Linked DNA regions of Cricetulus griseus. The protein of the gene in region 1 purifies or fractionates together with the protein of each later gene. This does not show direct contact. Links are inferred from orthologs where the notes say so. Each region holds a gene or a part of one and is shown in the gene's direction. Other genes may lie near its edges.

Region 1 (5,395 bases):
GTGGGGTGGCGGTTGAAAGTACGCACTTTTACTCACTCTGGTTTTCTCCTTCAGTGTAAGAGTCAAGAGATCACTTGAGTATTTGATGCTTTATTACAAAACAGGCCTTGTACTAAATGGTTTTGCCAAACTGTAAGCTGACCCAAGTGTTCTAAGTATGCTTAAGGTAAGCTAGCCCGAGCTGTGATGTTGAATAGGTTAAGTTTATTAAATGCACCTATTTTAAACTATTATTGTAAGTATTTGTTTATCATTACTATTGTTATGATTATCATCGGTGCATTGTGCATGTAGACGTGTGTGTCTGACTGCTCGTGCACCACGGTACATGTGCGGAGGTCAGAGAACAAGTTTCAGGAGTCAGTTCTCTGCTTCCACCTTCCACCAGGGATCAAAGTCACGTCGTCAGGCTTGCATGAAAAGCATTTTTACTGACTGACACATGGTGCAGCCCTACATCTTGTTCTTTTTTGAGAAGAGAGTCTCATAGGGTGGGCCATCCACTTCTTTTCCAACCATCTAAGAAATAGTCTCTCTACGAATTCTAAGCTAGGTTCCCTTGGCCCTGGGGCAGTGGGGGTAGTATCTGTGGTAAAGTAGATGAGTAGATGGATAACGAGCCATGGGAGCCACGGCCCCTGGTGCAAGGGCCTCTGGTGGCTGTTGCTGGCTGGCCCCATTTTGTCTGTGCTTTCTGGAGGGCTTCTGCTTCCCAGCTTTGTTTTGTCTGGTGTCTCCACCTTTGCCAGAACTATTTCATTTTGTCTGCTGTTTCCCAGAGAAGAAAAACACTGATGCACTTTCCTCTAGTTTTTATTTCGAGTGTTTCCCAAACACCAGTTGCAGGATCTCACAGCAAAAATGAAGATGAGATTCCTGACCTCGGGAAGCTATTTGGCTTCCCCCATCCCCCAGCTAATCTTTCTTCATGCCTAGCATTTTGAAAGATTTGCAGGTGTCTTACATATGACTGTGAGATTGGAACTGTACATTTACAAGGATCTGAACTGAGCATAAGCATGTGGTTCTGGAAGGATTTGTCTGTGTGTGGTGGATATATGTGCTTGTGTGTGTGCATGCCTGCATGTGAGAGTCTAGAGGCCAGGGGTTGATACTGGTGTCTTCTCAATTGGTTGCCTTCTTATAATTTGGTACAGGTGCTCTCACTGAACTCGGAGTTCATTGATTGGCTAGACTGGCTGGCCAGTGAGCCCCAGAGATCTTTCTGTTTCTTTCTCTCTAATGTTGGGATTATAGGTGGCTGCTACATGGGTCCTGAGGATTAGACTCCAGTCCTAGCAAGTACTTTACTGACTGAGCCATCTCCCTGGCTCTGGGTTTGTCCATGTTTACATTCATGCTCCATGCACTTCTCTGTTGTGCACATTTACAGTACCTTTATCCAAAGATTTGAGCATGTGTGGTATTGCATTGTAGTAACACTGGTAAACATTTATAAGCGATCTTACCTATAGGAAATTCTCAGAGGGAGGCAAGATCACTTCCATTTTTCCTAGAAGAAAAACAGGTTTGACAAGAGACTAATTTAGCTGGGGGAGAGGAGTTAGGGATGGAGTTTAGTGGTAGAGCACTTGCCTAGCAAGCTCAAGGCCCTGGCTTTGCTCCCTAGTGTGCACAACTCTCTCTCTCTCTCTCTCTCTCTCTCTCTCTCTCTCTCTCTCTCTCATTAGAAAGGGACTAAGCTGGTATTCAAAACCAGAATCCATTTCACTCCAAGGCTGTACTTTGGCTACTGTGTTCACAGCCCCCTCTTATTAGTGTGCGTTATGGAAAGAAGTTCCTATGTCCTTGTCCTTGTGCTAAAGGCATTCACTCCCTAGGGATTCTGTGTTACCTTCCAGTGCTGTGGCTAATTCATGCCATTAGAGTATCAACTGCTTCAGTTGTTATCTTTGCTCTTTAGGATAGAAGCACCTAGAGACAGCACCCTTCCCAGAACAGACAGAACTTTGCATGGGGAATGTTCATCAGTCAGGAAACCTATTTTAGTTGAAGCCTTGGCTTTCTGTAGAGGCTGGCACTGCTCTCTGCTTTACCTTCTACCCCCAGTCATCTAGACTCTACCTACTCCATCCATCCACCCTCCAAACCATGGATTGGGACAGACAGACAGCCTCTCTGATAGCTGTGCTTTGGCTTCCTCAGCAGGGCGCAGGAATTATTAGGAAAGTATAGTCACAGCTAACAAGCCTAGCTCTGCCTTTTGGGCCCTTTCTAGCATCTATCTTGGGAGCCAATGATTCTTTAGAAATATTAAACAGAGTTTGTTTATTTTCTGGAGAGGTCGGAGGCTGGAAGCTGCAAGTTGCACATCTGAGGTTCCTTTAACCAACATTTAATCGCCTCTTTGAAATACTGGTTGATTACTTTCCTTTGTTGTCTGAGTTTCCTTAGTGTTTAATAACTTGCCATTCTGTCTTTACAGAAACGGATTGCTGAGGGGTCTGGGGAGAGGTTAACAACAATTATCCCAAAAGCAAGAGTATAGAATGTAGGGGCTCCAGTCATTGGTGTTTCCCTTACAGAGGGGGAGGTGTGTTTGTTTCATGGACTCTTGTTTCCCCAGGCTTTGTGGAGCTCAGCCTGTTGGACCAAGTTCGGCTCTTGGAAAGCTGCTGGATGGAGGTGTTAATGGTGGGGCTGATGTGGCGCTCAATCGACCACCCTGGCAAGCTCATCTTTGCTCCAGACCTCGTTCTGGACAGGTGAGAAATAAATACTTTGCATTTCATCTCAGATCTGTTGGACTAAGCAAAGTGAGTGGGAGCCAAGTCCTAGGTGCTGTAATTAAATTCTCACACCTGAAAGGGCAATTAGAGGACTATAACACCATCCACTCCTTCACTGGGTCAAGAGCCCATGGAGAAGAGGGCTTGGGTACCAGGATTCATTTTCCACAATCCCTTCTAATCAATGGTGCACCAACAGTCACAGGCCAGGGAACTGCACCCTGCAGGGTAATGGCCACTGAGTGCACAGTCAACATAGATTTTTGTGTTTTTGCATTAAACATTCTGTTCTCACATTATATTCTTGAGTTGCCCTGCTCTGAGTGATGAGTTGCATCTCTGGACTGGTGATAAAATGCTTATGACCCTTCCAAATTTATTTTCATTGGCTATAGCTTTAATGCCGATAGTATCATTAATCTCTAGTAGCATTTTTGGAACATGTGGTGGGAGGGCTCGTTTCTAAGGCCAAATGAAAGTTAGCAGACATTGGGACATGACAGTGCTTTGGGTCGTGATAGGATGTCACAGAGTGGTTGCACCTAGTTTTCTTTTAAAGATGGCAGAGAGTAGGAACTAAGCTTTGATTTAGCTGAACTGCTTATGGAAGATAAAACTGGAATGTTCAATAACAGTCGAGCTTTGTTATAGGAAAAAATAGAAAATTTTTGGTGTACCTTTGAGAGGTTTGAAAACAATCTCCATGGAAAAAGGACTAGTGTTAAGTGTTCAGCACGTTAGACTGGGCACAAGATCAGGAGGATGCCTGGTGCTGTGAACCTAAAGTGCCCACCCCAACTCTTGCATCATAATCCTGTTACCACTGTAGGTCATCAGAAGACCCTCACTGGCACGTTGCGCAGATGAAGAGTGCTGCCCCAAGGTATCAGCATCCATTCTGCCTGTTGTCATGGATGGCACTGACAGAGAGCACTGCTCTGAGTAATGGAGGTGTTTTGGTGGAGAACAAATCCTGTGGGAAGAGCTGAAGCATGGGATGTGGCTTGAGCAGGAACAAGCCCAAGTGGTGACCGAGAGAGGGAGGCTCTGGAAGGCCAGAGCAGTGGGGCAGGTACCATACCCTCCAGTGACCGTCACATAGCTAACTTATTAGCTGGTGTGTGCCAGGTACCATCTTAAGCACTTGGTGTGTGTCGCCTTCCTTAATCTTTCCAAAAGCCCTTTGGGAGTGAACACCATTCATCATCCCAGGTCTTCAGTTAGGGAAATGGGAAGTGAGGTAACTGATTTACAGGCAGGGTAGTAAGTGATAGTGGAGGTGTGGGCATCTGGTTCTAAAGTCCATACACATAGCACATTACCCCCGTGGGAAAGAGAATCAGAAGGGGAAAGAGAAGGCCAAAGGCAAAGCGACTTCATAATTTATTCTTTTACCTTAGAACATAGCCCCATGACTGGGTCTATTTCTACCCTCTTCAGAAACACACTCCTACTGCACCTCAGGGCTGTCAGTCAAACTGAAAGGCTGGCCAGGCAATTGCCTCACTCATCCATTCTGCTTCACAAACACATATAATAAACATCTACATGTAATTCTACTACGCTAGCTGTTCCACCCGTTGGTGCATAGTGGGGCTAAAAATATTTTACTTTTTGTTTCAGTTTCTGGATGGATGCCAAATCTAGTGTTTCAGTAGCTGAGTCAGTAACTGGAGACCATGTACAGGAGTAAATTTAACTCTCCCCTTCTCTGAGTATGGGTGTGTCACGCCCCCACTCCCACCGCTGACATGTCAGAGCTTCCTCACATGGTGTTTCACGTGAATACAAGCACTAAACACTTTTTTTTTTTTTCCCCGAGACAGGGTTTCTCTGGGGCTTTGGAGGCTGTCCTGGAACTAGCTCTTGGAGACCAGGCTGGTCTCGAACTCACAGAGATCTTCCGCCTCTGCCTCCCGAGTGCTGGGATTAAAGGCGTGCGCCACCAACGCCTGGCGACTAAACACTTTTTATTGTTGTGATTTTGGTTTTTGTTTATTTTTGGTGCTGGATACAAAACCAAAAGAGCCTTGAGTTTGCTAAGTAGACACTTGGCCACTGAGCTAAACCCCCTACCTGTTTCCATTTGTTCTTACTGAGATTTCTACAGAAAACAAAACGAAACAACCTTGAATGTACTGAGGCTGAAGGGAAAACCCAGTGATTTGGGGTTATTTGTAACGAGGTAGTTCTTTTGGCATCCATTAGAAACATAAATTCATGTGAAGATCTAGTGTGGAACCTGAGCTTCTATTTGCCCAAAAATGCATATGTGGCTGGCAAGATGGCTCAGTGGGTAGAGGAGCTTTTCATCAAGACTGTGACCTGAGTTTGATCCCTAAGATCCACACGGTGAAAGGAGAGCACTGACTACACAAAATGATTCTGACCTTTAACTACAACACACACACACACATACACACACACACACACACACACACACACACACACACACACACACAGAGAGAGAGAGAGAGAGAGAGAGAGAGAGAGAGAGAGAGAGAGACATGCACACACATGATGCCATTTAAATTAAAAAATGTATGCTGACACCTTTGTGTCAGCATCAACAGGAAACTGTCAACAGAGCTGTTACTGGACATTTGGAGCTGGGCTGGGGCTGCACTATGAACACTGACAGGCTT
Region 2 (5,395 bases), on another chromosome or scaffold:
ATTTTAAAACGAGTATTTCACAAATATTAAATTGCAAAAAGAAGTATAGAGGTCAAAGAGAAAATTGTATTTTTCTTTTCATTAAAACTGAAAATGAAAAGTTTTAAATCTTTTCAAAATGAACTTAGAAGCACATTTTAATGCTGTTTTATTTGGTTTTGAGAAATGTTCCATTAGGTTAAAAGTTTCTTTGCCCAAGCCTTCTTTGATTTGTTTACTTTGTTCTTGGTTTTGGTTTTGTGGACAGTCTTTTTATATTGTATTCGTGCATTCTGGCCTTAAACTCATGACCCACCTGCCTCATTCTTCCAAGTGCTAAGGTGTGCAATCCCCTCTCCCCCAGCATATTAAACCTTAATTTACAAGTGTTTCCTGAGAGGCAACTGAAAATGAATTTAGAAAAATTAAAACGCATATGGATTTATTTAAAATATTTTTGTATTTAATGTTCAGTGAAAAAAGAAGACAAATCTATTTCTGCTCCCTTAGATGAAATAATGATATGAAAAAATGTCTTTGAAGTTAGATCTTGAATAATGGTGATTATGTAAAGATGAAATATTACAAATTTGGTTTTTAAAACTATTAGCTCACATTAGCTATGTATCTTAAGTAACTGGAAGTTAATCAACTTTATCTAATTCTTGTACTTGATCATGAGTTTGCTTCTTATGTACTTTTCAGTCATCTGAGTGGCTAAAATATGACTGTAAATTAACCTTTCATTAGTCAATGAAAATTGATAAGCCTTGAATAACCTAATAAAACTTTTTAAAAATACCTTTCCAGGAATGTCACCCAAATTTCATATTTTGTTTTGTTGGCTTCTTAGAGTTGTATACCACTAGTTAATACACTTAATGATAATCAGTTACTATATTTGTACAGTTTTCTCACATGCATGCAATAGCAAAAACATATCTACTATATTAAAATTCTTTTGTCTTATTTTGTTTAAAATTATTTTTAAATTTTTAGATTTTCAAAAATACAAATTATTTTAAAACTTATTTTTTATAGGTATGTTCACATATGATGAAGCCACAAAATTATTTTGGTTTAATCCATCTTCCTTTGAAACCGAGGGTCAGTTTACTCTGATTGGCATAGTCCTCGGTCTGGCTATTTACAATAACTGTATACTGGATGTCCACTTTCCCATGGTTGTCTACAGGAAGCTAATGGGGAAAAAAGGAACCTTTCGTGACTTGGGAGATTCTCACCCAGTAAGTTCTTTGTCATTCTTTAAATAGTCTCTGAGATACTATCTAAATACAGAAATACATCTTAATTTATATAAAAATATCTTTTTGTTTGGAATCTTTTGTCAATACCTACTGCTACCCAATGTGGTAAAAAATTTTTTAATCTGTTTTAAGTATAATGAACACTTAAATTTTTAAAGAGTGTTGTTTTTATAGATTGCATCAAGCAACTTTTGATTGACTATATAGTGAAATTTGTAAACATTCTCTTTTCAATATAAACTTGTAAGTCTGCCTGGTAAATGAGCATTGCCTCCTTCTCCTTGATAGATACAGCTGCAAAGTTTGATACAGTATCAGTGACCTTTTTCTTTTTTTCTTTTTTTTGTCTGTTTGTTTGTTTTTTTGCTTTTTCTTCCCCCTCTGTGTAACTCTGACTCTCCCACAACTCAGTCTATAGACCAGGCTGGCCTTGAACCCATCAAGATCAGCCTGCCTCTGCCCCCCAAAGTGCAGGGACTAAAGGGAAATGCCACCACTTCCTGGCTCAGTTACAGTCTTTTATGTCTTATTAAACTACTTGGGAGATGGGGAAATAATTTTGGCTTCATTATTTATTGACAAATTGCTTCTAAAAGGAATAAAACAAGCTCTTACACACACACACACACACTCTCTCTCTCTCTCTCTCTCTCTCTCTCTCTCTCTCTCTCTCTCTCTCTGTTTAAAATGTGTTTTACAAGTTATTTGGTAGCCTCACTTCTCTTTCTGGTTGTTAGGTTTTATATCAGAGTTTAAAGGACTTATTGGAATATGAAGGGAATGTGGAAGATGATATGATGATCACTTTCCAGATATCACAGACAGATCTTTTTGGTAACCCAATGATGTATGATCTAAAGGAAAATGGTGATAAAATTCCAATTACAAATGAAAACAGGAAGGTAATAAAATTTTTCTGTCATTGTTTTGTAAATATGTAATTTCAAAGCAGTATTCTTAGAGTTTTCAAAGAATTATTTAATACAGTTTGAAGCAGTAACAAAAACATTATAAATAAATTCATATAAATAGTAAAGGTATATTTTGCTAACTATTAGATAAAAGCTGATGTAAGTGTACACATTAATTGCTAATCCCTCTTTAGAGAAAGAGTACATATACTAGGAGAAAATGAATGGGTAAATATAATAGTAAAATACCTGAAACAGGGCATTACCATATTCAACCCTTAAGGTAAACAGGGCCCAGTGATTAAGATCCTATTTAATTTGAAATCTGATTATACATATTAAAATTATTCTTTTCATTAGATTTGGTTTCTAATAACTTGAAAATATATTCATTTGGGAATAGGAAATAAGGACAGAATAAGAAAATTACAATAAATAGTATAATTTTTAAGAAATGTGTAAGTTTATATAACTATATTTTTGATATTACATATTTTTGATAAAATATGTCAAGATACAGAATACATATTTGTAATTTGATGCAGTAGCTTAGCTTACCAACAAATAGTGTTTTTGCAGAACTGGACATAGTAGGTAGTTTACAATATCTCTAGTAGAAAACATGAGATGTTCTGGTTTGCTCAAATTCAATATTCATATATTTATATTTGCATACTTGTTTAAAGGACTTTGAAATGTTGTGTTGTGTCTCTGTTTTTATATTAATTTTTACTATTATAAAATTTTATTTTAATTCCTATTTAATTCTCAGAATCATAATCTATATGTATAACTCATGTTTACTTATATATTAATATGTCAGAAGTGAGGAATTGTGAAAGTATTTTTCTTTGTCCATACAACATCTAACATATTTTTTAGAGACTTAGGTTTGTCTTATATGCATGAGTGTTTTGCCTGTATATATGTTGGTGGATTGTTTGCATATAATGCCCATGGAGGCATGAGGGTATTTAGTTTCCTGGAAGCGAAATTACAGGTGGTTGTTAGATGCCATGCTAGTGCTGGGAATTGAGGTTAGATTCTCTATAAGAGTTGATAATGCTCTTAACCACTGAACCATCTCTCCAAAATAATTTTTTTAATTTTTTTTTTTTAAAAAGTACTCTTGAAGGATTTCTCTTGGGTGGGGCTAAAAGCGGCTATGCAGCCTAATAGCTATTTGTGTTCACTTGTATAGCATGTTAATGTTTAGTATGTGAATGTATAGCAGGTGAATCTTGTTTTTAATGTTTTACAGGAATTTGTAAATCTCTATTCCGACTACATTCTCAATAAATCAGTAGAAAAACAGTTCAAGGCGTTTCGCAGAGGTTTTCATATGGTGACTAATGAATCTCCCTTAAAGTACTTATTCAGACCGGAAGAGATTGAATTGCTTATATGTGGAAGCCGGGTAAGAAAGACATCTGCAAAAACACCTCATAATTTAGTCTTTTGAATGGTGTGACATAGATGCTAAAGTGTATTTTTTTTTCTATAATTTTCAGAATCTAGATTTCCAAGCATTAGAAGAAACTACAGAATATGATGGTGGCTATACAAGAGAGTCTGTTGTGATTAGGTGAGGTGTTTAATTCTTAAGAAGGAAGATTTTACTCATCAAAGAAGTTTGTGTGTATTGTGATTCAGACCTGTATCTGTTGGTGTTGCTTCCCAAACAAGCAATCTCAAAGGCTCTCATCTGTAAAAGTAGACTTCTATTAATATTACCAACATTCATACAGTCTAATGGTTTGTTTGATTAATTAAATGGTTATCTAAGTCTCATGGTTTTGGTTTATTTCTGGTAATGTATAAAATGGTACATTCTTTAGTATTTAAGATACAAATGTCTTGAAGACATTTGGGAAGAATGATATGTACTGGTGTTTCTGAACAATTCTCAGAACAGTATTACCAGTACTGTCTTTCTCTAGTCAGATGCCCTGGTTATTGTTCGTACTTCTCTGTACCATACTAATATTCAATTCTGAAAGACAGGTTCCTGATCCCCTAATATAATTGGTAAAAATGACAGATAGGCCCTTTTGGTATCCCTTGTTTGTGTGAAGTCGCAGGCATTTAAATAGGTACCTTTTTGGAAGATCACTCAAGCTGTTAAGACTTGAGTATGTAACAAACAGAATGAATATTAACTATGTCTAGTAATGACACATTATATTGGTTAGTTTTATATTACAGTATTATCTTATTAATTTTCTAGGTTTTTAGAAGATTACTGTTGCTTTGCCCTGCAGCAGTCATAAGTGTGTTTACAATGACAACCATGATATTGCTCCTAGACACTCAGTTTCAAAGGGTTGAAATAACATGCTAGTAGGAAAGCCTTAATGGGAATATCATAACATTATCTCGGTAATAATGTTGATCCAAAATAGACCTTCTCACAGAATTAATATGAGAAAACTAGCATTACAATGCATTTCATTTTAGAACAGTAAAAGTATCCTGGACTTTTGTTCATGGATATATTATCTTAGAAACAAATCAAAGTTTTGTGTTTTTGTAACTGTACCATTCTTATGTCATGCTTACCTTGTTTGTGAATTCAGGGTTTAATGGAAAAAAAATTACATCAGTAATAAAGCTTCAAACTTAACAGTTTATAGTATCATAAATTTTGTGAAACTACAACTTTTTATTTTTGTTAGTATAAACACAGTGAAAATTTCTTTGGAATTTTTAGTTACTAGGAAGTCAAACACTAAAATAAACCTCTGATATTCTCCCACCTCCTAAAAACTTATAATACAGGAACCTTTTAATAATTATCACATGTATTCAGAATTTATAAAATCAGAATGCACAAGTAAGGTTTTATTCATGTATTTTTCATTTGGAAAAGTTCTACCTGATTCCTTTTTTTTCTACTTAAGAGATTTTTTTTTCAAGTGCTCCGTCCCCTTACTTTTTGAGATTAGTTTTTTGATTAATCAGTTAAGTTTGATTTAATGTATATCAGTGTTTTGCCTACATGCATATATGTACGAGGGTGTCAGATCCTGTTAAGACAGTTGTGAGTTGCCATGTGGGTGCTGGGAATTAAACCCAGGTCCTCTGCAAGAACAGTCAAAGCTCTTTACTGCTGAGCCATTTCTCCAGCCCCATCAATTTATCTTTTAATGGATTAATTTCTATTTCAAAGGCTTGATTCAGCCTCGTATTTGATTTCTTTCCTGCTTAATAAATATTTATTTATTAAATAAATAAAGT

The links.
Region 2: the proteins of Esr2 (region 1) and Ube3a purify together in Homo sapiens (affinity purification with western blotting; 4 studies listed by BioGRID). This does not show direct contact. The link is inferred for Cricetulus griseus from reciprocal best matches to the Homo sapiens genes ESR2 and UBE3A.

The regions. Positions count from the first base shown.
Region 1 is NC_048598.1:127,340,462-127,345,856, forward strand, and holds part of Esr2 (estrogen receptor beta), read left to right. Parts: intron 1-2,587; coding exon 2,588-2,726; intron 2,727-3,579; coding exon 3,580-3,633; intron 3,634-5,395.
Region 2 is NC_048596.1:138,672,949-138,678,343, reverse strand, and holds part of Ube3a (ubiquitin-protein ligase E3A), read left to right. Parts: intron 1-1,020; coding exon 1,021-1,226; intron 1,227-1,984; coding exon 1,985-2,149; intron 2,150-3,419; coding exon 3,420-3,575; intron 3,576-3,662; coding exon of another isoform or gene 3,663-3,669; coding exon 3,670-3,743; intron 3,744-5,395. UniProt on the Homo sapiens protein: E3 ubiquitin-protein ligase which accepts ubiquitin from an E2 ubiquitin-conjugating enzyme in the form of a thioester and transfers it to its substrates.